Linked DNA regions of Ovis aries. The protein of the gene in region 1 purifies or fractionates together with the protein of each later gene. This does not show direct contact. Links are inferred from orthologs where the notes say so. Each region holds a gene or a part of one and is shown on either strand. Other genes may lie near its edges.

Region 1 (7,849 bases):
CTGGAGCCGAACAGCTGCTCCTTTCAGTTACAGCACAGACACTCCAATTTGCCACGTTGCTTGTCACTCCCCATTGTCTACACCAGGCCAGTTTCACTCATTTACTTTACTTTTCTGGCCCCTAAAAACATGTGAGTTTGCAAACCCTATCTAGACCTTTCCTGTCCTCCATCAAAGATTACTCTGTTCTGTCCTAAGTTCCTCATCAGTTTTCCAAAGCAATAGCTAGTTAACCTGATCAAGTAATTTTTATATGTGCTCGCTACAGATGGTATCTGAATAGAAAGGGATGACTCTGCAGGTGGAAATTACAGGCACCATGGGATTACAATTAGGATGGCAACTGTTCATTTTACTTTTTCTGTAACCGTAACTCACTGTCCTTGGGCACACCCCAGGAATCTGAACACTGGCCTATGTGCGAAACCTACTTAAATAGTACTTTTATAGATCACCCTCGTTCCAAAAAACTAAAAACTATCAAGGGCTATTCTGGCTCCCCGTTGCCTCAGAGGCTTCGGGATATCCGGCCTGACTGCACTTCCCCTCACCTGCTTTCGGGGGCCGTTCTGCGCCGACTGGTCGCACCCCAGAAGGGCGCTCAGCCAGCATGAGCTCATTTCTCAGGGGCCTTTCTGGAAGGCCGGGCTTGGCAGCGCGCACGAGGCGCAGTCGCCCTCACTCTTATCAATGGCCTCCGCGACTGGGCGGGGCGCGGTCGCCCAGGGGCGCTGCCTCTCTAGAAGCTTTGTTCTCAGTTTAATGTCTGAAAACTCGCACTCGGCCTGAGAAGCGCCCTGGATCTGTCTGACCGTTTCGGGAAAGACGCCCGTACTCGGGATGCGCTCTCCCGGGCGGAGGGGAACCCCGGGCGCGCAGAATTAGCCCCGCCCCACAGAGAGCCTCCAGTGGGTGGGGAAAGCCCCTCAATCAGTTTGTTGGAGCGAGGGACCCAGCGCCACCGACCACACCAGTTTCGCACCGCCTCGCGCTCCCTATATGCGGTTTCCACACCAGCTGCGAGTAGCCGCAGGCGAGGCCGTCAGACCGTCCGCCACGACCCCAGTCGCGCTTCTCCCCGCTCCTAGGACTGCCGCCGGAGGCTGAAGGCCAATCATACTGCAGCTAGGTCTTGCGATTAGACAGCAGCGAGTGCAGATTGGCTACTGCTACGAGTTTCGGCCTCCCTCCCTTTCCCTTTTGCCCCCATTCCAGCTCCTGAGCTTCAGGCCAATGAAAAAGCGCTTTATAGACGCCCTCCCTTCGCTCTCTACTTCTCCCCACCTCGGCGAGGGAGGAGGCGTCCTGACTGGCCAGACTGTCCTCGGAAGCCCCATTCCCTTCACCAATCACCGAGGGTGCTGCACTCCCAGCGGAGTTTCGGCCAATTACAAAGCGGCCACGGCGCCCAGCCGTGCGGTTTCGCCAGCGACTCCGGGCTTCACTGTCCTTAACTCTTCAAGCTTTTCCTGAGGGCCAGCGACTCTGATTGGTCACTGCCGAATTTCTCCTCCAGCCAGCCACAGAACAAGGCGAACCCACCTTTTCCTCGGTCGGCTATCTTCGGCATTTTCCGTCCTTGGGCGTGAATTTCCAGCGACACTTTCTGATTGGCTCTTCAGGTCGATCGGCTTTTTCCGGGAGGATCCGCAAACAAACGACATCCGTGATTGGTTCCGCTCGGGTTTCGGCTCCCCTGTCGAAGGGGGCGGACGCCCCGCTCGGCCGGCGATTCCCAGACGCCTCTTACGCGGGCGGCGGGGCGCTGGGCGGTGTAAGGCTGGGTGGGGGAGGAAGGAGGCGGAGGACGAGTAGGAGGGGGGAGGGGGAGTGGGGAAGAGCTAGGCGGCTGCGCAGACGGCACTCCTCACAGAGAGCAGCCCCCGACCCGGGCGAATGCGGGCTCGTGCTGCTGCTGCTGCTGCTGCTGCTGCCGCCGCCGCCGCCGCCGCCCGGGCCGAGTGACAAAGGAAGGAAGGAAGGAAGCGAGGAGGAGCCGACCCCGCAGCCGCTGACAGGGCTCCGGACTGGGGGCAAAGCGCGGACACTTCCTGAGCGGGACTGTGCAGAAGCGAGGGGCGGGAGGGCGGCCGCGCTGGTGCCTTGGACGGGGGAGGGGGCCCCCGAGGGACGGAAGCGGTTGCCGGGTTCCCATGTCCCCGGCGTATGGGGAGCAGTCGAGGAGCCGCTGCCTGGGGTCTGAAGGGAGCTGCCTCCGCCGCCGCCGCCGCCATGGCCGCTGGATCCAGCCGCCGCCTGCAGCTGCTCCTGGCGCAATGAGGGGAAGAGCCGCCGCCACCGCCCGACTCTGACTGACTCGCGACTCCGCCGCCTTCCAGTTCGCCGGGCCCCCACCGTCAGCCCGCCGGATCCTTGCCGCTGCCGGAGCCGCAGCGTTTCCCGACGCATCTCCGAGCCACCCCTCCCTCTCCCTCCCTCCTTCCCATCCCCCCTTCTTTTCAAGCGTGAGACTCGTGATCCTTCCGCCGCTTCCCTTCTTCATTGACTCGGAAAAAAAATCCCCGAGGAAAATATAATATTCAGAGTACTTATTTTCAATCCAGTATTTGTCCCCGTTTCACGTGATATATATTTTTTAGGATCTCCCACCCATTTCTGCCCTCCAAGGAAAAGGAGGGGAAAGAATTGTAATTTTTTCCCAGCCCCGGATCGTCTATATGTTAAATATCCGTACTGATCTGTCTTCAAGGAGAAATACATCGCTCGCTTTTTTAAATAGCTGTACAAAAGGAGTGAAAAGGCAAGAGGACGAAGTCTTTTTCCTGTGGGAAAACTTAATGCTGCATTTATCATTAACCTAACACCCCAACATAAAACAAAAGGAAGAAAAGGAGGAAGGAAGGAAAAAAGGTGATTCGGTAAAAGAGTGATCATGTCAGGGCGGCCCAGAACCACCTCCTTTGCGGAGAGCTGCAAGCCAGTGCAGCAGCCTTCAGCTTTTGGCAGCATGAAAGTTAGCAGTGAGTATTGATTTTATTTTACACCCCTTCTCCACCTCCCCTTTGAATAAGAGACTTTGAAATACCAGGATCTTAAAATACGAGACCTGCTGATAAAACAGAGGTAATGGGAAAGGGCAAAAACCTGTCTTCAGTCAAGGATGAGGCAGCTTCCTTTTTTCCTCCTCCCATATCCCTTCTCCGGTCTCATTAACCTTGAATCGGGGGAATGGGATTTTTATTTAGATGATTCTGTCTGAAACTTAGTTCTTTTCTTACAGTTTTCTAGCAATTGATAGTCAGCTTTATTAAGTGGTTGAGTGTTTCCACCTTAAAATAGTGATGGAAGTGTTTACTTGCTCATCCTTTTGATTAAAGCGAAGGACAAGACTCATAAACCATTATGTGCTTTTCCAGAGTGTGTCTTTTGGAATGAGGGATAGTTTAGTTCGCTCAGGTCTCGAGGGTTACCATAGTTTTGTATACTTAATGGAAGAGGTGAATGTCACCGTCTCCTAACATTTCTTTCTTACTTGTGTGACTATACAAAGTGTTTGTTCTTAATCCAGAGATGAACTCGCTAAGTAACCACATTTCGGTTGGAAGGCGAGCTTTGATTTGTCTCTTTAGAAGGGACGGGTACCGCTGATAGATACTCAGTAGCAGTAGTATCTCAACATGCATTGTTCTAAATTGGATACGCGGTTTAATATGTTATCTCTTAACCTTACCGTTTTGACATTGCCAATCTACCACTATAGAGTTAATGTTTAATCAAAAGGTAACTTGAAAGTAGGTCCGAGTTTTGAATGGGGCTTATATTGTCATGTTGCTAAATAGTAAGTTGAATGTTAATTGTCACTGACTCATCATTAAAGTTCAGCTTTGGGGTGCCATTGCTTTCAGTACTTGCTAAATGATCTAGAGTTCAGATGTTCCTTCTTAGGACTGCTTACAATACTCTCGCATTGTTTTCCTTTCGAATTCAGATAAGGCTATGAAGTTAGAAGAATATGGATTTAGACTTTATCATCATAGGTTTTGCAGAAGGTTGTGGTCCCAGATTTAATAGAGGTATTTGGGCTTTGTTCAAGGCTGTTGCTAGACGTCTATACTCTCTTCCCAGATTTGTGCTCAAAAAGTCTATTTTGAGTGTTTGGTATACTAAGTATCCAGTGTTTTAACGTATCTCTAGTTATGGATATGTTTATGTGATATTTAATGTCAGTTTATTTAAATATACTTAAAGAATTCGACAAAAATATCTATTATAGTTTCCTTATTCCTTCAGAAAGGAGCATGAATGAGGGCAAAGAAAAACTTTTACTGCTTAGAAGAAGGAGAGAATTGAATTGAGATTTTTTTTAAAAAGGTATATGCTGTTATGTGAAATTGATTATAAAATGAACACTCTTACTTGAACTCAGGATTTCAGTTCATGGTGGCTTTTGGAACTTGTCTGAAACAGGGTAGTCTAAGGTAATAGCTGAATGGGAGATTATTTTTGAGAGTTAAATTTTTTTTTTGGTGACTAGCTAGTTCAGAATGCAGAGTATGTGAAGAGGGAAGCTGATGATGCATCTTTCAGGGAATGGTCAAGCTTTCTAAGCACTTCATGGGGTCATTTGAGAGGAATATTTTAAAATTCTGGGGTAATTTTCAGCTATGATGAAGCAAATCTTATAATAGCTCCTTAAGAGCCTCTTGTGGTACTGGAGTGTTAGGATGTTTTTCATCTTGGTTTAAAGACCACTTGAAATCAATTTTAGGTAATTAGTTTATTCAGAGAGCAGAATGGGATACCTAATAATATTAAATTTGGGGACTTTTCATTTAGTTCACAGGATTTTCTATGAATCCTTTGTGGATGTTGACTGAAGATGGAGTAACTCTTGCAAAGTGCAGGTGAAAATGTTGACTTTTCTGTTACCATATAGGTCAGCTTAACATTTAAAAGATTGGAGTTCAGTGTTGACTATGTGTTTTTGACAACCGTAACTTTAAATACATTTTGGAAGAAAGCCTTTGTTGGAATGCTGGTGTTCTAAGGGACCCCTGTTTAAGCGATAAGAAATTATAGTCCTTGCCTTGAAAAGCTTATCAGTTTTTGAGGCAGATTATGGGACAAAACGTGAAAACAGTAATATGATGACTGCAAGATTATAAATGCAAATAGAATACTTTGTTCAGAGGAACAAAAAATAAAGGCATGAGGTAGATGGCTTGGAGAGAAGACTTCTTACAGAGGTATGTTTTAAGGCAGGTGTTAAAGGAGGCAGTAACTTATATTGAGAAGCATAAAGGATTCTAGGTGGACAGAATGGACAGAGGCACAGAGATGGTGACTTTTGTATTTTTGTATTTATAAAGCAGGTTAGTAAATCTGAATAAAAGGGGCCTAAATAGGAAAATAAGAAGAGATGGAATTTGAGAAATATGTTAACTGATGGAAAGCAGAGGGGGCTTATGATTATGGTTGAGATTCAAGAGAGTTTGGAATTTACTATAGGTTGATGAACAAAATATTTGAAGATGGTTTGGGCAGCAAAGTTGATGAATTAGAAACCAGACGTCAGAGCCCTTTTAGGGAGTAGTAGAGTATGTTGTGAATAGTGAGGCAATATAAAGCAAAATTGAAAATCGGATGAAAAGAACACATTTGAGAGACAGCGTGAATGAACTGGTAGGACTTTGGATTGGATTGAAGGGGGGAGTATTTGGGAAGGAGTCAGGAGTTAAAAATAAATTCTGATGTTACTGGTCTGGAAGATTTGACCGCCAAGTTATATTGTTGATTGTAATGGGAAAGTTGAGAAAGTGCTGAGATGGGAGGATAGATGAGTTCACTTTTTAAAAATTTAATATTTAGATTTTCTTGAAATTCAGCAGACAGCAGTTGGTTACTGGCTATCGTATTTAACTTAACAGTCTGTTTATTGCACTGTCTCTAATTTTTCTATGTCTAAAAATGCTGGATTTATTTTCAGGAGTAGTAAACTGAAAGTTTTTATTTATATTCTTTCCATTTCTCAAAAAGAAAATAATTTTTAATGTAAATTCAAAAGATCTCATACTTGAAACCTAGTTATAATAACCCGATGGTAATTTATTTGAAAACAATGAAAATATTTTTTGGACTAAGCTGTAACATAAGCATTTTAGGTATTTTATACAGCCTTCAATCTTTGGTACATTCTTAAAACTAGTTTCATAAATAATGGTTATTTTAGGTAAACCTTGCTGTTTAAAATAATGTTAATATGCAGACTTCAGCAGAAATTAAAAGTTGATTTATTCATTTATTTACTTTTTGTGTTTTGGTTGCGCTAAGTGTTCATCCGGTTTAGAAGAGTATATTTGATTTTTTTTTTTTAAACCTCAATGTTGTGTAACTATTTTTTTTTTTGGTCTGCATTCATATTCAAGTGTTATTAGATAAATGTTAATAGCTAGACAGTTCTTCTGTAGAGTCACATGATATTTTACTCAAAATGGAGGCAGTAAGGTGCTATGGTGATTTTTTATTAAAATATTAGTAATAAGTCTTTTGATAAACTGTTAGTGAAAATTTAGCTAGTTGCCTAGCTAAGTCATGAGAAGTTATTTCCTCATACAGGATTTTTTATATCAAATTTCTTTAGTGAAGAGAATAATAGTAGTTGCATATTGCTGTGCAGTATTTAGTTGCATGGTGGCTAAAGCCAAAGAGTAGGTGGCAACTTAGAGTTACTCTATTCCTGAGAGAGTTTAATCTCTTTGTGTCATATAAAAATCAGGTTATTAGAATTTCACTAGTTTCTAGATTTTCCAATGTGAAAGAGAGCTCATGTGTGAAACTGAAAACCAGAATTTTATCTTCGTTAAAATTTCATTCCCTTCCCAACCAGACCTTTCCAGAGTTGTTAAAAAACTAGACCCTCATATAAGAATTGCATGCTGTCTTGTTAAATGTACCCCTAGAGTGCTAATTGTGAAATGACTTAAAGGCACAAGGGAACCCAGAGATTCATAAATCAATTCACGACTGATTGGGAATTGCGTTTAGAAAACGAGGTGACATCTTCTCATTTCATTTGCGTGCTTCAGCTGGAAATCATCACATACTTGTACCCTGTGCTGTCTGCCCCGTGTTGTGGACTTGGGTTGCCAGTGTGAGACACTGTTTTGGAGAGACAGGCAGGCTGGGGAAGCCAGCTTAAGTGTCAGCAGCAGATTCTGAGATCAGGGGAGGTCTGCTTTTGTGTGTGTTTTTTCTTTATGTATAGAGAAGGCTGTACCACAGTTCCATGCTTAACACTCATGGGATAGTGGGCAGGCTGTGGGACTGTGGAGTCTCTTGTGATGCTCCACCCTGCAAGAGGAGAATGGAGGGGCAGAGCATGTGGGTGTGATGGGATTATATCTGGTACTAACAGGACCAACCTGATTTCCCAGATATTGTTCTACTAAGAACATAATCACCATGAGTAAATAAGTTTATTGGTATGTTTAGCATCATTTTTGTAGCCTATTTTGAGGGGCGGCAGTTGAAGGGAGTGGTGTGGAGAGGAGGGAAATCTTGCATGATTGTGAGGATAGAAATGTTTTCATGGTTCATTGATTTTAAAGTAGAGGTTGCAATCTTTGCTTCTATCTTGGGTTGTACAAATCATCCTTAGTTATATAATTGTCTTTGACTTCGGTTGAGTGTGATATAGAAATGTTTATTTATGTGAAGACCTATGTGAATAGAGAGCTTCCCTGGTGACTCAGATGGTAAAGAATCTGCCTGCAGTGCAAGGGACACAGGTTCATCTCTTGAGTCTGCAGGATCCCCTGGAGGAGGGCACGGCAGCCCACTCCAGCACTCTTGCCTGGAGAAGTCCATGGACGGAGGAGCCTGGTGGGCT
Region 2 (7,804 bases), on another chromosome or scaffold:
TCCAGGCGAGAACACTAGAGTGGGTTGCCATTTCCTTCTCCAATGCATGAAAGTGAAAAGTGAAAGGGAAGTTGTCGCTCAGTCATGTTTGACTCTTAGCGACTCCATGGACTACAGCCTACCAGGCTCCTCTATCCATGGGATTTTCCAGGCAAGAGTACACACTGCTTAGCAGTTTATAAAACACTTACAGGCCCACTTCTCCTGTGTTCTCCCCAACAGTCCTGCAGGCAAGGCCCTGTGATTGCACTCATTTTATGGATAAGGAAATGGATGCTCTCTGAGTCTTGTTCAAGCATCCACTTAAGACCATGTTATGTCAAGCCTTGTGTCAGTTCTGGGTCCACAGAGACATTTAGGGCATATTTCCTATCCGCTCTCAGGCAGCTCCTAGCTCAGGCAGAGGAAACAGTAAGTATATGGACAATTAAAAGCTAATGTATTAGTGCTCAACAGAATATTACTCAGCTGCAAAAAGGAATGCATTTGAGTCAGTTCTAATGAGGTGGATAAACCCCTAGTCTATTATACAGAGTGAAGTCAGTCAGAAAGAGAAAGACAAATACTGTACATTAACACGTATATATGGAATCTAAAGATGGTACTGACGATCCTGTGTACAGGGCAGCAAAGGAGACACAGGTGTAAAGAACAGACTTTTGGACTCAGTGGGAGAAACAGAGGGTGGGATGACTTGAGAGAACAGCATTGAAACGTATACATTACCTTATGTAGAATAGATAACCAGTGTGAGTTTGATGCTTGAAACGGGGCACCCAAAGCCGGTGCTCTGGAACAACCTAGAGGGATAGAGTAGAGAGAGAGGTGGGAGGGGGTTTCAGGATGGAGGGGACACATGTATGCCTATGACGAATTCATACTGATGTATGGCAAAAACCATCACAATATTGTAAAGTAATCCAATTAAAATAAATAAAGTAAAAAATATTTTTAAAAATCTAGTGTGTTAGTGCTATGAGAGATAAATGCAAGATGATGTTGGGGTGAGTCTCTCCCAGTTTTAGAAAAATTATGCAAGTTATATATGCTGCAAAGAAGAACTATTAAACTCATCTTGGTGTGCTTTTCCAATTATTACTTTATGATTAATTATCAGAAAAATTGATCAACTTACTTTCTCACCTGTAATCTCTAAATCTGGCTGACGGTGGACATTTTTTATTCTTTTTAAAAAAACTTCATAGGTGAAAAATGGCATTCCATGAACATTTTTATTCCTTCTTTTTAAATAGACCGTTCCTTTTTGGACCATTTTTATTTTAAAGCATTTCGGGTTTACCTTATGGGTGCATATTGTTGATATTCACATATTGTTGGTGATTCTTTGTCACAGAGTTGCAAAACCTTTTTTCCGGTTTGTCTTGCCTATGGATCATACTTTTTTTGAAGCTCATTTGGAAGCTAGTCATAGTAGGAATAACATTCCAAAAGGAAAGAGTAATAAGAAATTTTCCCTCTTAGATATAATATGTATTATAGAGCTACCATCCTTAAAGTGTTGTGGAACTGGCACAGGAACACACAGAAAGACGAATGGATACAACCCAGAAACAGATCCAAGAATATATGAGTTGGTAGGTGATGATGGTGTGTGGACAGCTGGCTATTACAAAAATTATATTCGATTTCTTTCCCACTCCAAAATTAAAATGAATTCCAGATGGATTAAAAATGTAACAAAATCTTTTTCTTTTAATGTAACAAAATCTTTTAAAAATTAAAAAAAAAATTCTGTAATCCTCTTTTTGTGGGCAGTAACACACACACACTGCGCTTTGCCAGCCTGAAGAACCCCAAGAAAACATTTTGGAAAAAATATCTGAAAGGAAATGTGCGAGTTAACCACGTGGAGGTAAAGAGAGGCTCGGAAGGGCACTCCAGGCTGAAGGAACCCACCGGAGCAGATGTCTGGAGGCTGAAAGACTGCAGCGTGCGCACTCCAAAGACAGGGTCGAAAATGGAACTCAGGGCGCCCACAACGGATCCGAGGCTTGAGTCCAGGTCCGCCCCCACAGGCCATCTGCATTGTAAAATAGCACTTTTCCCATATATGGTACTTAATATCTGTTCTGGTATCAACAGAATGACATGGGTCAGGGAAAACAGCTCGCGGGGCGGAGTGTCAGCAGCCCGGACTTTCTCAGTCGGCTCCCGCCGGGCCTCGCCCGGAATCAGGCAATGCACCAAAATCCCTGCCGGGATCCGCTGAGACTCTACTCCTCCTGGTTGGATTCTCTCTGTGTCAATCCTTCTCCTGGAACCTGGCGGTTCGTTGTGCCCGCCTTAGGGGGCGGGGCTCCCGCCTAGGAAGACCAGGGGAAGGTGGAGAGGGTGGAGATGGGGGCGGATGGGAGAACGTATTCCCACCCCTCTGGGCCTATAGGTTCCACCCACTGCCTTTCCACAGGTCAAGCTGTCTGTTCATCATGAGCAGCAGCTGGTTGGAGTGGGTGAGACAGCTCGGGGGCGGGCTCGTCCCTTCAGGCTCCGCCCCGCAACCGGCGCCGGGCTCGGAGTGGGCGCGCTTTGAGAGGGGCGGGGCGGCAGGGCGGCGAGGAGCAGCGCAGGGTGCGGTGAGGCGCGCAGATCCTAGCTGTTCCTGGGCAGGGCACTGAAGGCTGAGCGAGGCTGACCTGCTGCAGCTCCCGCCTCGCGCGCTCGCCCCACCCCGCCGTCGCCCGAAGCGCTCGAGGAAGCCCTCTCGGGAGAAGCAGCGCCTGTTCCCCGGGGCAGATCCAGGTTCAGGTGAGCGAGCCCCACCGGCGGGTCCCGCCCCGAGCGGGTGAGCGGGGGTGGCGGGGACCGGACGCGTGGAGTCTGGGCGAGCGGGCCGATGAGTGGTTCTCGGCCTCCGCGCGGCCGGCGAGCAGGCATGGGCTGGGGAGAGCGGGCTGGGCACCCTTCACAGAGGGGCCCCGGGACCCCCGCGTGGATGCTCGGTGAAGACGCCGACGGAAGCCAGACCGGGGAGCCGAGGAAGGCTTGGGGCCGGGCGCTTCCCGGAAACCCTCCGTACCCCCTCCCTGCCCTCCCGCCGGCGCACTCCGCAGCCCGGGCACCCGGGAGCCTCGACCTCCCCCTGCCGCCGGGGCACGCGCCCCGCCCTCGCCTCGCCCAGTGCCCAAGTTGGGCAAACTTTTTAACCCCTTCCGGGCAGCCTCTGTCCCTTGGACACAGCTGCTTGGGCGAGGTTCAGGTGGGGGGCTCGGGGCTGCGGCTCCTTGGGAAGTTTCCGGGCGTTTTCGAAACGGGGGTAGCGGGCAGGCGGGGACCGTTTGGTAGCTGTCAGGGCGTCCTCCCGAGTCAGAATCGGACAGTCCTGCAGCAGACATTGCTCTTGGCCCGGTTTCCGCCCTCGGCTCCAGACTTCCTCATTCGCCCGGGTGCGATCGGCTGGTCGGAGGAGGGGGACCGGGAGAGGTGCTGCCGGGTGCTTGGGAAAGGGGACCCGGTGGGGATCCCGGCTCGAGACAGGAAAGACTTCCCCCTCCCTCACAGATCCACATCCTTTGACTTTTGGCCTCTGCTTCCTGGGAGTGGAAGGCCCGGGAAGGCCCGCACCAATCTCCGCGACCCCGGCGCGCACCTGATTCCAGCGCACCTGCGGACCGCCCCAGCAGGGCGAGGGCGGGGAGAGCTGGGTTCTGCTCCTAGAGGATCCGGGCTGGGCTATTGCATCGTGCCCGTTTGGGCCAGATCCAGGGTTTTCTACTTACCCCGCTACCCCCCGCCCCCCGCCCCAAATGTCTTCTTTCAGGATCCTGATCTCCTGCTGTCCAGGGGCCACGCCCAGGGCAGGACTTCACCCCTCACCCCCCTGCGCCTACCCCCCGCCCCCCACCCGGGCCTGCACCCCCCCCCCCCCACCGCGCCCCCAAGAGCCCAGGTGTCTCAGAGACGGAGTATCTTCCTGGACTAGGTTGCAGATTGTCTTGAGGTGTGGGGGCAGGGTGAGCACCGGGGCTGCTATCTGCGGCCCCACCCAGCTGGTGTGGGGAAAAGGTTCCCGGGAAGTCCCAGGTCCTATGCACCGGCGGATCTCTCTCCGCTGGGCAGTTGAGAGACCCAGCCGCTTCTGGGTTCGCTGCACCCTTTCCTGGGCTTAACAGGATTGCAAAGTAACTGTTGAGTAACTGTTGAACTGGAAGAACCTTAGCGCCTTCCTGCAACACTGTGGCCATTTCTGAGTGCTGTCTGAACCTGTAACCTCACCGGGTGGTTTATTCCCTTTATGGTAAGAAGGGAGGCTGGTTTAAGGCCTATTTAGACAGTCACTTGATTAATATTAGTCAATTTATATACAAGGCTGCTGGGAGTGGGGGGAGGGTACACAGATGTGTAATTGAGCAAATATTTAACTGGCTCCTCTGTGCCAGAGACTCTGCCAGGTGGTGGTGGGGTGTGAGGTTGAGTAAGACCTGGCCTGTGCCCTGGGGCATTTAGGGGAGAGCCAAGACAAATCCGTAGATGACTCTAAGGTGAGGCGAAGATGACAGAGACCCTAGAAGGGTGCTGTGAGTCATGGGATTGGGAGAAGGGAGCCAGCCCGTCCTATGGAGAGCCCAGAGGCCTCTGCCTTAGGGGAGTTTACAGTCCTCAGGGGGAAATAGTGGCCCAGTGACTGAAATACAGAAGCTGCCTGTGATGAGTGTCTCAAACAGGCCTCAGACAAAGGATTCGAGGAGTTCTGAGAGGGGCCACTTCTGTCTGGGATGAGAAGGAAAGCTGCCTCGAGGAAGGAGGACATGGCAGGTTTGCCAAACCGAGGCAAGCATTCAGTGTTGGAAAGTGAGGACTCATTTACGATAATTGAGGTGTAATTAAAAACGTCAAGAGATTGCTCAGTGTAATTTGAGAGCCGCTGTGCCCCCCAGATGGCTGCAGGGTGACACTAAAAAAGCTCTGTTCTTCAGATTCAGCAAGTCCCGGCAGTGCCCATGGCAGATCCAGGTGCTCAGATTGGCAGGCAGTGTCTGGGGAAGGGCAACTCCCAGAGGTGCGTTCTGTGGGGCTCCTTGTCTGAAGGGCAGGTGAGGGTAGAGGAAAAGAGAGGGTCAGGGCTTTCTGACTTTTATTTTTTATTTTTAAACTGTTAACCTAAGGGGTTGGAGATGGGACAACTTCCCTCTCACTGGATGAAGGACGCATGTTAATCACAGCCTGCCTCTTGCCCATTCTTGCTCCAGCAAAAAACAAAACACGGATCTGTTAGCTTTTCAAAAGGAGAAAAGCTCACTCAAAAAATGCTGCATTGTTGTGTCGCCTGGTGGAGGGTATTGCTAGAAGCCAGGCTAACTGTGCTTTCTTCACTTCCTCTTCTAGCTAATCCTTCCATAAAGTACTTAAGACAGCCCTTACCAGCTTGACATCTTTATTTCAAAAGGAGAGGAGGAGTTGGCTGTTGTTTTCCTCTGAGCCTGGCCCTACCCTTCTCTTGGTGGGGGTGGGGGCAGTGGGGAGGGGTGGCGGAGAGAAACCCCAGGCAAAGGAAAAAAAAAAAAAATCCAGGCCTTGACAGCTTCCTCCCAAGCATCATGTTCCAAAAATATTTAGAATAACAATATCTGTGTGTCGTCTTAATTAAACAAACCTCCTAATTTGCTGAGCATAATACAGCATCTCTGCCCACAGGGGCAGGAAGTGCATTTTCCCTTTGTGCAGCCCCAGAGAGTCACTGCCTCTTGGCTTTAACCCTTGGTGTGCTGAGCCCCTGGGCTTAAGCCCTCTGGTGACAACGGAATGGAACCCTGGCTGCCCCCTGGGAAGCAGTAGGCTTGTGACTTAACGGGATCCGGTTCTTCATGAGAGCTGGGAGGAGTGGAGTCCTGAGTTTTGGCACTAGACAGCATTCAGATCCTGACCCTGCCACTTATATGACTGTAGGCAAGTCACTTAACCCCCCAAGCCTCAGTGTCCTTATCTGTAATACAGGAGTCATGATACCCATCCTACAGAGTTAGATGTGGGAACTAAAAGAAATTAAGTATGTAAAGGGCCTGATACATAGTGACTGTGTACATTTTTAAGAAAATGTATGTGGTCAGTCTTCATTCCCTGGGTTGTCAGGTAAGGAGACAGGATAGGAAGGGTAGATGGTTCTTCTGGCTCCTAGCTCAATGCTCTTTCTGCTTCTAAAAATGATGTGCTCTGTGTGTGTGTTTGCTTATGGACCACAAAGCTTGAGTGGTAAAAACAGATGGTTCCGGGGCCCATCTGCTGATGTTCTTGGTGATGAGCTTGTGCTCACTAACCTTGTTGCAGGGCCCCGGCTCAGGCAGAAGATACACAAGCTCACTGTGTTTTAGTTCTCAGACACAGCTTCCGTGGTCCAGGGGAGAGCTAAGGGGTGACATGGAGGTACACTGGACCTATTGTCTGGAGGCCTGGCTTCTGGCTCTGGCCCTGGTTGGGGGTACATTTGATTTTGCTAGAAGGCATGTACTGCTTCACAGAGACACCACACCAGTTTATGTGTCTGCCAGTTATACCCAAGAGAGTTTGGGAAATTGAGACACGCAGGAATTTAAATTTTTCCATAATGCCCCAGTTTCTTAAGTGCCATTATGCCCTGCTGATGGGGTCTAAGTTGTAACAACTCTCTTTATAGAAGGTAGTTGGGCAATATCTGTCAAAGCATAGTCCTTCTGACTGATTTCTAGGAACTCACGGGCAGATAAACTCAAACATGCAAAGGGAAATGTCCAAGGATATTCTTTGTAGCATTGTCTAGAGAAAGACAGGAAATAAGCTAACTGCCCATTAAGAAGGTCAAATAAATCATGGTACAGCTGTATAGTGGGAATCCTTGAAGCCCTTAAAAAATCGAGACTGAGTACCTATAGGTACTGATTGGGCATGCTCTCCAAGATATATTTTAAGTGGATAAAACTTGATACAAAATGGGATACATGTTGCTCCCTCCTGTGTGAATCATTGTATGATGCCTCCGCTCTGTGCATGGAAAGCTACAGACACCCAAGTAACAGTGGTTGCCTCTAGAAAGGGCCCAGGAAGCCAGAGCCTGCGGTGAGCATTGCTTTTTCCACTAAATGCCTTTTTACATGTGTTGACTACTTACATAGTCAGAAATTGAAATTTTTGTTAGTGTTACTAACAACAAAAATAAGTGGTTGGCTGGCCAGTCTTGGGGGTCTCTGCTTTTAAAATGCATTGCTTGAGATCTCAGATTGCATACTGAGTGCCTGCCACGTGCAGGGGAGGAGGAAGGGTCTTAAAAATGGACTGAATTGCTCTGTGGTTGGAACATTTTGGGGCCTGTTTTCTTCTCCATGATGTCATATTATCACCAGACTAACCCCTTTAAACAAATGTCTACTCTGATCCTTTCCCTTGGTTTCTGGAAAATGGTAGGTGCTTTGATTGCCTTTTCTCTGCTGTATGAGAAAAGGAAGCCCGCGGGACGTGTGTGGAATGTATTCTAGGAAGCCCTTTTGCCAGCTTTCCCACAATCCCCCTGGCTCCACGCTGTCCACTTGTCCTTTCCTGGGGAATCCATCCTGACCAGGAGGCCAGACCAGACCTTTATTCTCTTGGGTCTTCCTCATTTGTAAACTTGGGGTCATTGCAACCCACCCCATCTCCAGTTGTCCCTTAGAGATCTGGCCTGTGGTTTTTACGTATTAATAACATTGGAAAAGCCCAAATTTCTCAAGAAAATGTGATCAGAGGGGGGTTTTGAATTGGAGAGCCCTGCTAGCCTTCTCAAGAAGGGCTGCCATAGCCTTGCACAGTGTGGGCCCCAGAGAAGACTCAGGCTCAGCTC
Region 3 (7,771 bases), on another chromosome or scaffold:
AATGACATCAGAGCAGGGAAGAAAGTTAGGAAGATCACGGGTAGACCAATCAGACGCCACTGAAAGGTTTTAAACAGGGCAGTGATATGGCCAGATGTGAAACACCCAAATAGAAATGCCGGCCTTCTGGGGATGAGTGCAGATTTCAAACAGCAGGCAAAAAAAGACAAAGCTAGGGGCTTCCCTGGTGGCCCAGTGGGAAAGAATCCACCTGCCAAGGCAGGAGACACAGGTTCAATCCCTGGGTCTGGGAAGATCCTCTGGACAAGGGCATGGCAACCTACTGCAATATTCTTGCCTGGAGAATCCCATGGACAGAGAAGCCTGGCAGCCTAGAGTCCACGAAGTCCGGAAGAGTCAGACATGACTCAGTGAGTAAATACCAACAGGAGCAAAGTAACTCTGCTAGGAGAAAAAAAATATGGACTTGTAAACTGGATATATATTATTTTTAAAAGTATTAAAAAAGAATAAGCAACATCCACACAAACAGCTCCAAACTGGAAATAAAACAAATGTCTATTAATTGACAAATTGATAAATAAAATGTGCTATATCCATACAATGGAATCATTATTGGGCAATAAAAAAATGAAGTACTGATACATGCTACATGATACATGGATGGCCCTTGAAAACATTAAATGACTTGAGTGAGACAAATGACCACATATTGGATAAATTTGTTAATACAAAATTTTCAGAATAGGAAAGTCTATAAAAATTTTTTTTTTTATAAAAAAAGGTGTTGTATAGGGCTGGGGACAGGGTGGAGGATTGACTGCTAACAGATAAGGGGTTTCTTTTTGGGGGAAAAAAAAATTGTTCCAAAGTTAGATTTTGCTAATGATTGGGCAACTCTGGGAGTATACCCAAACCACTGAATTGTACATTTGAACACTGTATGATAAGCGGATTATATATCAATCAAGCTGTTAAAAAAGAAAATAAAAAATTATCTAGAAACTAGGGACACCTGTAGAAATGGATTTCAATCCTAATTTCTTCTCATTTTATATTTGTTGGCCTAGAAATAATTGTAGATCGCAAGAGACAACAGTGACTGTCTGCTAGCTTGAGTTGGGAGCATTTATTGCTGTTTTAGTTTAGGTTAGAATGAGAGAGTTGCGCCCATTGTGCATTAAACTAGCAGTATGGAGCAGCTGTTTCAGTTAATCATTATAAGGACTGCAAACAGCATTCAAAGAGTACTTACTTGGTTCCTTCAGCATTTTAAATGAATGCTCTTAATATGTAAAATAATACTTATTCTCATTCAGTATTTTTCCTTTCCAAAAAAACCCTATAGTGTTGAAATCTTATTTTCATTAAAATCAAGGTGTTGGCTTAACTTTAAAATATTGCTCCAGATCTTTAAAACATTTCTTTTCTAGTTCTTAAATTCTGATTAGGAATATGTGAGTCATTATTACATACTGCATAGGTTCAAAATAGCTACAGAGAAAGGGAATATGAGGTTGAGGTGGTGGAATGCTTCCATTTTCACACTCTGAGAAGGCCAAGGTTTCTTAGGGAAGCATTCCTGGTATCTGTATTAATCAGTTTGATAGTTTCTCAGCTGCTGTGTGTGCGTGCATACGTGTGTGTGTGTGTGTGTGTGATAGTTTCTCAGCTGTTGTGTGTGCGTGCATACGTGTGTGTGTGTGTGTACGATCTTCCAATTTCACTTCACTTGTGCTGCTGACTCTGTTAGGTTTTTATAAAAATTCATTTCATTTCCCTTTCCAGCTTCCCTCTTGCGGGTGTGTGCATGCCAAAATATAATTCAGGCTTAACCACTTTGCGTGCAGGCTAGTTCATTGTCTTGTTTTATGTATGAGGAAGCTGAGACTCACAGATGATAAGGTACCTTGCTTGATTTGGTTGAGTCACCAGTTAATCGAGTTCTTCTAGGTGGAACTCAGGTCTCCAGATTTCTGTTTCTTGTTAGGGAAACATCTCCATTTTCTAGCCCTCGACCTCTATCTTTTCAAATCTTATACTCATGAATAAATATCTACATTGAACATCATTTTATGTTGGCTATTCTTAGAACTGACCTTTGTACAGAAGAGGTGGTAATCTAGGAGTTGTAAACGGAGGGGGAAAAATCAAAGGTAACGATTTTTGGGGGGCCATTCGTTTTCCCCTGTAACAAAATTTCCCATTTATTTCTCCAATTTTAATTAAACAGCAGTAACTGAAGAATATCTAGATTTTTTTAAAACAAAATATGGCAAACAGAACCAGGACTCTGACCTAACAGATTTTAGAACAAGAATGTCAATGTCAACCGGAAATTAAAAATTTCGGGGCTCCTTCTTACATAGATTATAATCCTCTAATCTCCCATCTTCCTCTGTGGCCTTAAGATCCGTGCTCTGCAGCGAAGAGCTTAAAATTATTAAACCATAGACGTCTCTTCCCTATTTAAAACTCTCCAGTGCTTTCCACTGCATTCAGAATAAACTAATTTCTATATTGGCTTACAAAACCCTACAGGATATAACCTGTGCTTGTTTACTTCTCCAAGCGTGTTTCCAAGCTTACTTTCCTTTTACTTTCTCATACCTTCCCCCTCAAGCCCAATTTAGGGCCTTAGAATTAGCAGTTTCCTTTGCCCCAAATGCTTCTGTGATATTTGCATGTCTGTTATGCAAACCGCTTCTTAAATGATTCCTCCTCAAAAGGGCCACTCCATTGCAATCGTCATCACATCATTCCTTGCATTTCTTTTGCGTGGAGCTTAACATCGAGATATTTTTCTCCCGAGGATGCTCAATCGAGAGTCTGAATAGTCCCTAACATAGAAGCTCAACAAAAATTTGTTAAGTGAAGAAACGAACATATGAATATGCTCTTTCTTCCTTGCCCTCCTCTCTTCCAACCAAGGCAAAACTCATGACGATGCAGTTAAAAATGTCCTCATCTATCAGGTATCTCCACTCTTGAGGAAAAGATGTCTTCGAGGAGGCTGCAACTTCACTGGACTAGCCTTCCGATTCTACCTTGATTCTAAACATATTAGCTTTTCATCTCCGTCTTGATTTCTCGGTGATCAAGGCTTTACTTCCCGATTCTGACATCGCCTCACGACGGAAAGGTGAGCACTAGGGCCTGGAGATCCCTTGATGCCAATTGTTGAGGTCTGCACGGGGCCGTGGGCCTGGAGCGCTGTGAGTGGTCCTCCGGGAAATGCAGGGAGGAAGGGGCGGAGCTGTGTCAGAGGATGAGCCCTTCTAGAGCCATCGGATCTCGAGGGGCTGCCGCTATGGGAAGGGGCCCCCGGAATCAGAAGCAAGCACAAGCTAGGGGCGAAGAAGGAGCCCAGCTGACCTCCGGCGGTAGAACCTAGGGGACGAAGGAAAGGAGGCAGGGCCTTACACCCGAACCGCAGAGCAAGCCAAGGTTTGGATATTTTGCCAGAGGAAAGGGTTAAACGGTTCCCCAGGTAACGGACCAGGAAGCGCGCAAGACGTCTGCGGGAGGTTCGTAGGTCAGCCTCGAGTTTAAAGCTCCCGTGGGCCAAGCGGACTCTGACCAATGGGAATGCCGCTGGGCGTGGTCACGTGACGCGCGCGGCCATCCGGCAGGCAGCCCCGGAGCACGTGGGAAGGCTTGTTCCTGTTCCTTCTCTCCCGTTTAAAAAGCCCACCCACTTTTTGCGCGGGCTTGGTCGCGGAGTTCTTCTCGCGAGAGGCGGGGAGTCCTCTCGCGAGAGCGAGTGGGAGGCGTGAAGACTCTCGGAGGTGTTGCGGGGTGGACCTGTGGTGGCGGAAGCCGGGGGCGGGCGGGCCGGCCGCGGGGCGGGGAGGGGGGGAGGGCTGGGGGCCGCTGCGGGAGGGGGGCGCCCGCCTCCTTGGCCGCTCGCGCCGCTGGTCGTTGCGGGCGGGTGTCATGCTTGTGAGCTGCGGAGGCTGCGGCCCCCCAGGTGAGCCTTGGCGCGGGTCCGCCAGCTGAGGTGAGCGGCGCCCGTTGGCTGGGGCGGCGGCGGGGCGTGGGGCCTCGCTGGATGGAGCGGCCGGGAGCGGCCCGCAGCCCAGGCTCTGACTGCGGGGCTGCCCGGAGCTGCGCCTTCGCACGGCGGAGGGAGGAGCGGGGCGGGGAGAGGCGAGGAGAGGAAGCCCGAGGCTCTGGGCCTGAGGAAACGGGGACGGGCGACCTCGGGCTTCCTGGGGTCTGAGGGCGGCGGCGGGGCGGCAGCTCTTTGGGTGACAGACAGGCCTAGTTTCCGTCCCCTAAGGTGGTCTTCAGAGCCGGGGCCCCGCCGTGCGTGCTGCTGCGTGTGCCTCGTTGGTGTGCGTGCTGCACGCACAGAAACCTTTGCGGGAGGAATAGGAGGATGCACTTTGTCCCCCGAACCAACAGCCATCCTCTGTCAGATCTCTTTGAGCCCTGGAATCGGGCACAGCCCAAATATTGTGACAAACGGAAAGCGTCAAGCAGCTCCTCGGCGTGCTACTTGGATTTATCCGCTCCCAGATTTCCTTCAGCGCTGTTAAACGGCTCAAATGCAGGCCACCACTCCTCATCTGAATGGACTGGGTAGACTTACTCTTTTATTCCAGGCACTTAAATTGCCTTATTAAAAAAAATACGTGGGTGTGCCCAAAGTGTTAAAAACGTTGGCAGAATAACAATGGGAGTAGAATCTGAACCGCAGTGTATGACGTGGGGACAGGCTTTCTGGTTTCCTTCCACTGAAACCCCTGGTAAACTGGAGGTAGTTTAGCTTAAGATGCTAAGGAAATAACAGGGTGAGAAATACTGCTGAGACATATCTGATGGCCTTTTTGCAGCCTGGCGTTAAACATTCTGGTTCGCTTTTCAGCCTTGTAATTCCTAAGTCCCTTGCAAAACTCATAAGCTTTCCTTACCTGTTTTCCACCTTGTTAGGGATGATGTATTGATTGATACTGATTTTGGTATGTCTGGAAATAGGAAATGTACTCAGAAAATTCAGGGTTCTCAGCAGTTATTTTAATGTCTTATTATTATTTATGGTTTTAGAGGAAATGGCATCCCAGTGCCCAGCACAATCACTGTCAGTCTAGATACTACCATTTTAATGAAGCTCTTTAAACTCACAGTTATATTTTTCAGGAAGTACACTGATTATGCATACTTCTCTATGGCTCTTGTGGCAGAACTGACCCAAAGGTTGACAGTGAATTTCACTCTTGGCTGTAACAGAAGTTTATGAGAAATCTGAGAATGTAAAGGGCAGTCAGAACAAATTCCCCAAATTGAACTGGTACCTAGTGATGAATATCTGTACCCACTTAGCTGCTCTGTTAATAAAGGCCTAGTGGTTTACCTCCAGGCTGATGATATCTCCCAGTTATTGAGGAGATGGGACCTGCCGAAGACCCTGAACCACAGTAAGAAATTATCTAGCTTTTCAACTCTTCAGAGAAGTCTAGAAGCTGAAGAAGTCTTCCTTTGCCTTTCAAGGCTGGAAGAAGGATGGTGCATTTGTTTTTCTTTTTTTTTTTTTTTAAATGAAAAATTCCAGGAACTTAACTGTCTGGAAAAGTAAACCAAATCAGATGATAAATTTTAGGTTATTCTTAGGGAAATTTCCACTAATGAGTAGGCTGTGCTGTTATTTGTACTTGGAGAAAACATGAAAAACTTCAGCAGTATCTTTCTGAGAATGGGCAAAAGAGACTTATAGATTTAAGAAGTTCTCTGCCATTTCATCTTGGGAAGCTGATTTTCAGGGATAGAAAAACTTTTTTTTTATTTTGCTGGTTTTTATCACTTGTTGGCAATATTTTCAGGTTTAGGATGTAGATACTTGTTAATGAAGTCACTTTGGGTAGGGTGATTATTTGATAAGCTAAACTATTCTTTTTCTGGCCTGCATTTTAGTAGTAAAATCAGTGATTTAGAGGAAATGAGGAATGGGACAGGTCAGGAAAAGATCTAAGCTGGCCTGGGCTTGAGTTAAGGGTTAGTGTATAAACTGGTAAAGTAAGGAAAGAAACATACTTCTTCAATTTAGGAACAAATCAGACAGCTCCAAGTGGCTTTATTCTGTCACTTATCTTCATATATTAAAGTTTATTATAAAATATTAGCATCAAGGCATTTGAAATGTATAGGTTAGAGCCTGGACAAGAGAAAAGAAAACATTTTTGGACTAATCAGAGAATGTTTCATGGGAAAAAATAGATAAATGGCATAGAGGATTGGAACAGATTAGATATTACTTGAGTGAAAAAGAGGTACAGTGTAAAAGAAAAAAGTAAAAAGAGTTTGTGTTTGGGAATCCAGCAGATCTGTTCGTTGATATTACAAAGCCTCTTTTTCTTCATCCCTGACAGGAGAGTTTTTAAAACCTTAGTTACTGTGAAGCACATAGTAACTGCTTACCCAGTGTTTTTTCTTTGACCTCTTTTAATGTCTTGAGGATTATTTGCCTGCAAGAAACAGAAACCGTTTGAATTAACTTACTTAAAAAGGGCGTTTGTCAGACAGAAGCGTCTGAAGTCCAGCTCAGCGTTTGGAAACCAGAACAGGCAGTTAACCAGCCTGTTTTCCCCTGGGAAGCCATGACATGGGTCTTGTGTCTCTGTTACTCTGTAATGTCTTGTTTCGACTTCTTTCAGACTGACTCTTTCAAGTTCTTGGTTTCTGTTTCCCCGTACCTTTGGTTTGTATGAGACTTTGGTTTGCTTTAGTGCCGACACAAGATGTTTTGATTTTGCAGTATGGTTCTCTAGAGATATCTTCATGTCTTAATTCCAAATTTCTGGAGAAATAGATAGTCCAGTTGGTCAGGTACCTACTTGTAGTCCTGTTGCCTGAGGGTGGGGAAAGATGGAGAAGATGTAGGTGTGCCCTACACGAAAGTCCCAAAAAAGTCCCACAGTTTGTATTTTTTCAGGCTGGGTACTATAAGTTCTGTAGTAAAGGGGGTGTGAACAGGCAGGAAAAGGTGGGTACTTCCGGTGTACTCTGACCTCCTGCAGTTAGAATTTTCCCCTTAGTAATCCTCTGAACTTGTTCTCAGCAATGATCTCCTTCAGGACAGGTTCTAGGTGTATGAGGGCCAAATGTGTATGTAAATCAGGTGTCCCCAACCTCTAGGATCTAATGCCTGATGATTTGAGGAGCTGATGTAATAATAGAAATAAAGTGAACAATAAATACAATGTGCTTGAATCATCCTGAAAACATTCCCCCCCTCCCCAGCCCTGCCAGTTGGAGGAAAAATTGTCTTCCACAAGACTGGACCCTGGTGCCAGAATGGTTAGAGGACCGCTGAAGTAAATGTTTTGTGTCTCAGTTTTCTTATGTAAAAATGGGTATAAAACAGCAACTTCTGCTGTGAAAAATATGAATTCTGTTTATCAGCAATTCAGCAGTGCCTGCCTGGCAGAGTGTAAGGGATGTGGTGTGACTGTGACTGAGGGCTGTGGGTACTGCGGTGTGGCTCCTGCAGCATTTGAAGAAGAAACTCATTCCTAGCTAAGTCTAGTGCTGACCACTGCATACTTAAAACTGTTTCTTGACTTGAGTGACACCTAAATTCTCCTAAATCTCTACCTGCTTTGACTGCCACTGATTTGGGGTTCTTCGTTTACCTGCCTGGGGACTGTTCGGCATGATTGTCTTCTGTCTTGTCAGAGTCTCTTGGGTCAGCTTTCAAGCTCTCTCTATGCAGATAATTCCTAGATTAGCGTCTCTAGCTCTGACTACCACAGCTAAATGTATTTTTTAGGTGCTCTTTGGATATTACCTTGACATAAAATAACACTATCTT
Region 4 (6,212 bases), on another chromosome or scaffold:
AGCAGAGCGGGCCGGCCGCCACCACCTGTGGGGGGGCGGCACTGGGCACCCCCGCACTGTTCCTCGGGCCCACCCAGCTTGCACCCAGGACTCCGCGGTGCCTCCCCTGACCCCACCTAACACCCTGGCCCAGCTGGAGGAGGCGTGCCGCCGGCTGGCTGAAGTGTCCAAGCCCCCAAAGCAGCGGTGAGTAGACAGGCTGCAGCAGTCAGGGGCGGGGCAGGCCAGAGGACCCATGCCTTGAGGTCCAGCTGCTCTGACAGGCTCACTGGGATCTGGCCAGTCGTGCCTGCAAGAAAGAGAAGGAATCTCTGAAATTCCTTGCAAATCCCATTCCTTGAGTGTCCCAGTCAGTGGGGGTTGTGAGATGAGCTCCAAGGCGCTGTGACCCGCTGGGGATCCAGTACCTGCAGCCCTCGGCCTGGGTGGGCCGCGTGTAGTCCCGGGGGCCCAGGGCTCAGCATGGCTGGGCCAGGCCCGGGGGCTCCTGTCCACACAAGGCCTGGGTGGGACTCCGCCCAGGGGGCGTTGGAAGCCGGGGAGGCTGGCTCTCTGTTTTCCCTTGGCCCCAGGGATCCCTCTCAACCTTTCCTGGCCCTGGGAGTTCCTGTCCACACAAGGCCAGGGTGGGGCTCCGCCCGGGGGACGTCGGAAGCAGGGGAGGCTGGCTCTCTGCTTTCTCTTGGCCCCAGGGATCCCTCTCAACCTTTCCTGTGTTAGGTGCTGTGCGGCTGGCCAGCAGAAGGACAGGAGCCACCCGGGCCCTGGGATGCCGGGCGCCGCGCCCTTCTCCAGCCCAAGCCCAGCTTTGGAAGAGTGAGTGTCTTGGCCTGGTGACGCTGAGGTCTGCCCAGAGGCTTTGTGTTTTCAGGGTATTCATGTCAGGGGTTGCAATTTTTGAAAACTTTTTTAGTCTATAAAATCATCTTGATTTTAACATCCAAGACAAGGAATTGTAAACCCAGATGGTGCCATAGATCAGAGTCTGGAAAACCCCTGTCCAAGAGGAACGCATGGTGACTCGTAGTAACACGCGGGTGTCCTCTTCGTGAAGTGGTGGTTGGCTCAAGGTCACAAGCTGAGAGCGAAGCCTTTAGCTTCTGGTTAGAGAACCCCAAACACAGATGGAAAAGCTGTTCCCATCCACCTGGAAGGCTAATGGGTTGAAAACGTTTGCGTGGAACTGAGCAGGAAGGCGCTTCTCCCCGGTTGCAGAGACAGACGAAGGGCCCATCCTTGCTGTCTTGCAGGGGCCGGTGTTGGGAGTGGCGGGAAAAGCATCTCCCCGCCGATGCCCCAGTTCCTGTTGTCAAGTTACGCTCCTGTGACCGGACAGGGAAGCCAGGCTTCTTTTGGTTCCGGGACGGTGTGTGAAAAGAGTGGTCAGCTGCTGAGATCTGAAGTGGTTGAAATCATTCACCTGTCCGTCCTTAGCTGCTCTATCATGAGTAGTGTTCAAAGAGAGAAAAAAACCTCTACAGTGTTTTAATTGGTTGACCTTAAGTTGACCAGGTGTTTGGGCCTATTGCGCTTTTTTTAGCCATTCTGCAAAAACTCAGAAGTTGCAGTGACTGAGGGCTGATCCCCACACACCCCCACCATGGGCCCTGGCGTTCCGAGTTCACGCCATCCCTGGGCAGAGGCAGAAACCACAGACCCTGGCTGGGGCGAGTGTGGTGTCCTGGTCACTCTGGGAGGGTTCCTATCTTTGGAGGCAAGTTCCCTGTGATGCCCCCCAATGGACATGGCTCCGTCCTCCCATTGGGCGGCACACACACACCTGTGTGCCCTGCACTGATGACCTTGCCCAGGGCCCTCGGCACACACAGCTACAGCCTCACCTCTGAAGATACAGTTTGCAGACCTCCTGGGGGTGTGTGCGCTCTGACCGCTTTCAAATGCTGGACCTGTGGCTTTTCCATCTCATTTTCAGCCACAAGGAGCCCAGGAAGCTGGCAGGGATGCACGCGCTCCAGGCCAGTGAGCTGGTGGTCACTTACTTCTTCTGCGGGGAGGAGATCCCCTACCGGCGGATGCTGAAGGCCCAGAGCCTGACCTTGGGCCACTTTAAGGAGCAGCTCAGCAAAAAGGGAAACTACCGGTAAGCATCCTGTGGCTTTCCTCTGCTCCAGAGTCGGTTTGCTCAGAACCAAGAGCCAGGGTCACCTCTCAGCCCCCAGACCTGCAGGGGCCAGGTGGGCGGGCAACCTGGGGCTTTGCTCTGTCTCCTTTCCTCCGACTCCCCCACCCCTGCCCCTCCTAGAGATAGCACAGGGCTGGGCGGGCTTTCTCTAGCAGGAGAAGTGGACTCAGGAGCCAGGGGACAGCTGGCTTTTTCAGAAGAGCCGGGCAGGAGCCTGAAAGGGAGAGCGTGGGGAGAACAGAGGGGTCGGACAGACTGATGAGGAGGCTGAAAGGCGGCCCTTGGGCAGGTCCGGGAGAGACTGCCACCCATGACACGTGGCATCGTGCCCCCTCAGCTCTGGGTCCCAGGTAGTGTGAGGCAGGGTGGCCTGAAGCGGACAAAGGGCAGGACCTGTGGGTGGGTGTGGGGGCACAGGGCTGCCCACTCTTCCTGCCAGGACCTGGGGAAGACGCCCTGCCGTCCCCCCAGGCCTCTCCCCACCTACAGGGTGCAGACCCCGCCCCTGGCGTGCCAGCCCCAGGCGTCCTTGGTTACTTTTCTCTTGCCTTGTCTGGTTCATCCAGAGCCCTAGCTGGCCTTGTCGGCTGCCTCCATCCCAGAGGAGTATGCGGGTTGTGTCCAGCTGTGTCCTGGGTGCCATGTGCAGGGCCAGGACGAGGAGCGGGGAGCAGTCAGGGGGCACGGGTCAGAGAGGAGCCCAGCTGGGGCGCAGAAGCTACCGCCCCAGTGCCCCCCCGAGCGAGGGAGGGAGTGCGAGAACTTTAGCATCCCTTAGCAAGTGGCCTGATGGGTGAGCCCACCTCCCGGGCCCGAGACCCCCGCCCTTCAGAGCAGGCCCCCTGCAGCCCGGAATGACTTGGTTTGCAGGGAAGGGAGCAGGGCTCAGGGCTGGGACCGTGCCAGTGACAGACCACAGGCCTTGGGCCGGGCTGGCGTCTTCCTGGTTCACACCTGGGCAGAGGTGGTTCTGGAGATGAACAGAGGGGGAACGGGCCTGGCTTATCTCGCACAGACCCAGGCGAGGGTAGGGGCACACGTCCCCCTCCAGGGACCCATCAGGACCTCAGCTTTGGCGCGGCTGGCCCTTGCGTGGGACTGCAGGTGACTTTCCGGGGGGCCCAGAGCATGGAGCAGGGCAGCCCCCGCTTGGACGCTCTGGCCACATCTGGCCTGGATCCTGTCTGTCCCGAGGCACGCTCAGCGAGCCGGGCTTTGAAGCCCCAGCCCTCCTCTGACGAGCGGACTCTGCGCTCACATTCCTTGCTGATTGGATCAGGCTGTGGCGAGCGGGCCCTCCCTGCCGCCCTTCCGGGCCGGAGCTGGACCCCTGGCCCCTGGTCTTCTCAGCCTGCGTGCTGCCGCACTCACCTTGCCCCCTGCCCCCAACTCCCAGCGAGGATGGGCTGGGGCCTGGGCTGCAGGGCAGGGCTGGGAGGGGAGCCGCCCTCAGAGGCCAGATGCCCGGGAGGCAGGGCGTGAAGCAGGTCTCAGGGGCGAGAAGCCAGGGGCTACGCCTTTGACGTCTCGGGGTCAGGGCTCCTAGAGGAAGTTGCAGTTATGGACACGGTCACCACGAGCCCCTGCTCAGAGAGGCCAGGAAGCCACCCTGCTCTGGTCCGTGCTGACCCCGAGGGCTGTGGGCCTGGGGTGCCAGGGGCATCGGAGCCTCTCCAGGGAAACAAGACTGTTGTCTCCCCCCACCCCCCACCCACGGTGCCCTGTCTCAGCGGGCCACCCAGGACCGGCGTCTCCACTGCTGGCCCCCGTAGCCCAGCCCCTTGAGTACCTCCAGCTGTCTCACCGTATCTAGCCTTATCGGCTTTCCGAGTACTTGGCCTGCCTTCACTGAAGAGCAGAGACGTTTAGCTCTAAGCTTTTTAAGGAGAAAAGATAAAAACAGAGGCCCACCGTAACCCTGAGACGCAGTCACACGTTTATTGTTTGAGAAGCTGTTCCCCTCCCCCAGGGGCCTTTGCCGCCTGAAGGCGACAGCCTTCACGGGCGAGTTTAGTCTGTCTGCGGGGTCTCCCTGGCCGGGGCGGGGGGAGGCAGAGGACTTGGCATGGTGTCCAGGCAGGGACGTGGGTGGGCCGGGCAGACAGGACAGCAGTCGTTTCAGGCGTGACTCTCCTGGGACGGGCTGGTCATCTGCACCGGTGCCTTCAAGTGGCTTCAAGAAGGAAGGCCAGGGTGGGACCCAGGGCCTTTCCATCCACACAGAATAGGGGCTTTTGGCGTTTGACCCTGGGGCAGGGAGCGAGGGGACCGGGGCAGAGGGGAGAGTCACAGTGGCGGGGGGGGGGGGGGGTCTCAGTGGCCCCATGAGGCAGGGAGCTGCCCACCTCCGGTGGTGGCCACAGCGGAAGCAGCCAGTCCTGCTCCCCGGCTGTGCCCGAGCCCCCAGCTGTGCCCGAGCCCAGTCAGGCACTGGTGGGTGGGGAGTGTCACAGGTACCCGCCTCCCGCAGGCTTCACAGAATCAGATAGCTGAGTCTGAGGGCTCTTTGAGGGGCCTCCCCAGGCTGCCCTGCAGGTGAACTCCAGGCATGCTTTGCCCACCCACCCCCAAAAGAAACTGGGGAGAAAGAAGCAGCTGTTCATCAGGTTTCCGTCCTGGACTGAAGGCTGCAGCCTCAACGCTGCTGGCAGCTATGCGGGGAGGAGGAGCCTGGCCCACTGCCTCCAGGCCGCCCGCCTGGCTTTGCCCTTCACCCAGCCCGGGGGCTCTCACTGCAGATCCCAGTGGCAACTTCCCTGCCAGCCCCACGCAGCAGCGTTCTCGAGACCCCTTGGTCCCCGCCTTGTTGACAGAGTCTTCTCAAGACGCGTGGAAAGTGCCCCTTCACCAAGCGCTTGTTGGGTTTTCCCTTTAAGGTATTACTTCAAAAAGGCGAGCGACGAGTTCGCCTGCGGAGCGGTGTTCGAGGAGGTCTGGGACGACGAGGTGGTCTTGCCCATGTACGAGGGCCGCATCCTGGGCAAGGTGGAGAGGATCGACTGAGCGCCCCTCGCCGCGGCGCCCGCGACCCCGCCTTGCGGCGGAAGAGCCACGCGGTGAAGATGCCGGAGGCGCGGGACGAGTCCCGCCCGGGCCGCCCGGCGCTGCGGAGAGGAAAGCCGGAACTGCTCTTGAGAAACGGGACCACTCGGCGCCGGCGATGCTGACTGTGCCCGAGAGGCTGCCGCGCGTCCTGTGCGACAACCCGGGCTGTGAATCCAGCCGCGGCTCACCTGCACAGGAGTCCCTGCTGGTATTTATTGAACAGGCCCCCCGCGCCCCGCGTGTGGACGCGGGAGAGGGATTTTCGTGGTTCTCTGTCACCAAGAATTAAGCTCTGCGTGAAGACGGACTGTTCAGGGTGGCGCCCTGCCGCCCGCACACGCGGAGATTGGTGCATTTTCCGCTGCCCCGCGCCCCCACCCCGCGCTGCTGTGTTTTCATATAGGTCTGGAGGCCTGGTGTGGAGGTCCTGTCGATGGATGATCTTGGCGGGGGGGATGGAGCCTCCCTGGGCCCCAGGTCCGTCCTGTGACTTCTGGGGCTCCCACCAAGGCCCGGCCCCGCACCCTACGGCCGACGCCTGCTGCAGCCATGTGGTTCAGCTTGTGCTTTTATGGAAATAGCGGTCCTTGGCGTTTTTTACAGATTACTCTTTGGACCCCAGCCATTCTAGAAGCTACTCCCCACCTCACCCCCACCCTGCAAAGAAGCAAACAGCTTTGGGAAGACTGGCCCGAGCACCCTCCTGCAGACACCTTCCTGTTGGCGTTGGGGTTTTCACGTTACCTTAGATCTGTGCGCTCTGTGGCCACAGGCCCCTGAAGCCGCGGCTGTATATACTGTGTGGGGAGAGTATGCGCCCACTATCTCCGGAGCTTGACCTGGAATCAGTACAGTACCTGTACCTGCACGGTGCCCGCGCCGTGTGTCGCCCTATATTGAGGGCTCCAGCTTTCCCTTGTTTTTTGAAAGGGGTTTATGTACAAATATATTTTATGCCTTTTTATCACAAGTCTTGTACCCAGTGATTTTTGCCATGGCGTTTTGTTCTACTTATACTGTAAAT

Evidence for each region.
Region 2: the proteins of GSK3B (region 1) and MYH9 purify together in Homo sapiens (affinity purification with western blotting; 4 studies listed by BioGRID, with this or other methods). This does not show direct contact. The link is inferred for Ovis aries from reciprocal best matches to the Homo sapiens genes GSK3B and MYH9.
Region 3: the proteins of GSK3B (region 1) and AKAP11 purify together in Homo sapiens (affinity purification with mass spectrometry; 4 studies listed by BioGRID and IntAct, with this or other methods). This does not show direct contact. The link is inferred for Ovis aries from reciprocal best matches to the Homo sapiens genes GSK3B and AKAP11.
Region 4: the proteins of GSK3B (region 1) and AXIN2 purify together in Homo sapiens (affinity purification with mass spectrometry; 9 studies listed by BioGRID and IntAct, with this or other methods). This does not show direct contact. The link is inferred for Ovis aries from reciprocal best matches to the Homo sapiens genes GSK3B and AXIN2.

Annotation. Positions count from the first base shown.
Region 1 is NC_056054.1:185,710,625-185,718,473, reverse strand, and holds the start of GSK3B (glycogen synthase kinase-3 beta), read left to right. Parts: upstream 1-2,893; coding exon 2,894-2,981; intron 2,982-7,849. UniProt on the Homo sapiens protein: Constitutively active protein kinase that acts as a negative regulator in the hormonal control of glucose homeostasis, Wnt signaling and regulation of transcription factors and microtubules, by phosphorylating and inactivating glycogen synthase (GYS1 or GYS2), EIF2B, CTNNB1/beta-catenin, APC, AXIN1, DPYSL2/CRMP2, JUN, NFATC1/NFATC, MAPT/TAU and MACF1.
Region 2 is NC_056056.1:180,444,224-180,452,027, reverse strand, and holds the start of MYH9 (myosin-9), read left to right. Parts: upstream 1-2,603; 5' UTR 2,604-2,654; coding exon of another isoform or gene 2,655-2,895; intron 2,896-4,075; exon of another isoform or gene 4,076-4,255; intron 4,256-7,804. Other genes in the region: uncharacterized protein LOC114114032, read right to left, coding at 727-800, 1,918-2,303, 2,655-2,895. UniProt on the Homo sapiens protein: Cellular myosin that appears to play a role in cytokinesis, cell shape, and specialized functions such as secretion and capping. Required for cortical actin clearance prior to oocyte exocytosis. Promotes cell motility in conjunction with S100A4.
Region 3 is NC_056063.1:12,780,822-12,788,592, forward strand, and holds the start of AKAP11 (A-kinase anchor protein 11), read left to right. Parts: upstream 1-3,224; 5' UTR 3,225-3,488; intron 3,489-3,674; exon of another isoform or gene 3,675-3,749; intron 3,750-3,861; exon of another isoform or gene 3,862-3,961; intron 3,962-3,999; exon of another isoform or gene 4,000-4,545; intron 4,546-7,771. UniProt on the Homo sapiens protein: Binds to type II regulatory subunits of protein kinase A and anchors/targets them.
Region 4 is NC_056064.1:61,407,639-61,413,850, reverse strand, and holds part of AXIN2 (axin-2), read left to right. Parts: coding exon 1-186; intron 187-720; coding exon 721-816; intron 817-1,933; coding exon 1,934-2,101; intron 2,102-5,019; coding exon 5,020-5,146; 3' UTR 5,147-6,212. UniProt on the Homo sapiens protein: Inhibitor of the Wnt signaling pathway. Down-regulates beta-catenin. Probably facilitate the phosphorylation of beta-catenin and APC by GSK3B.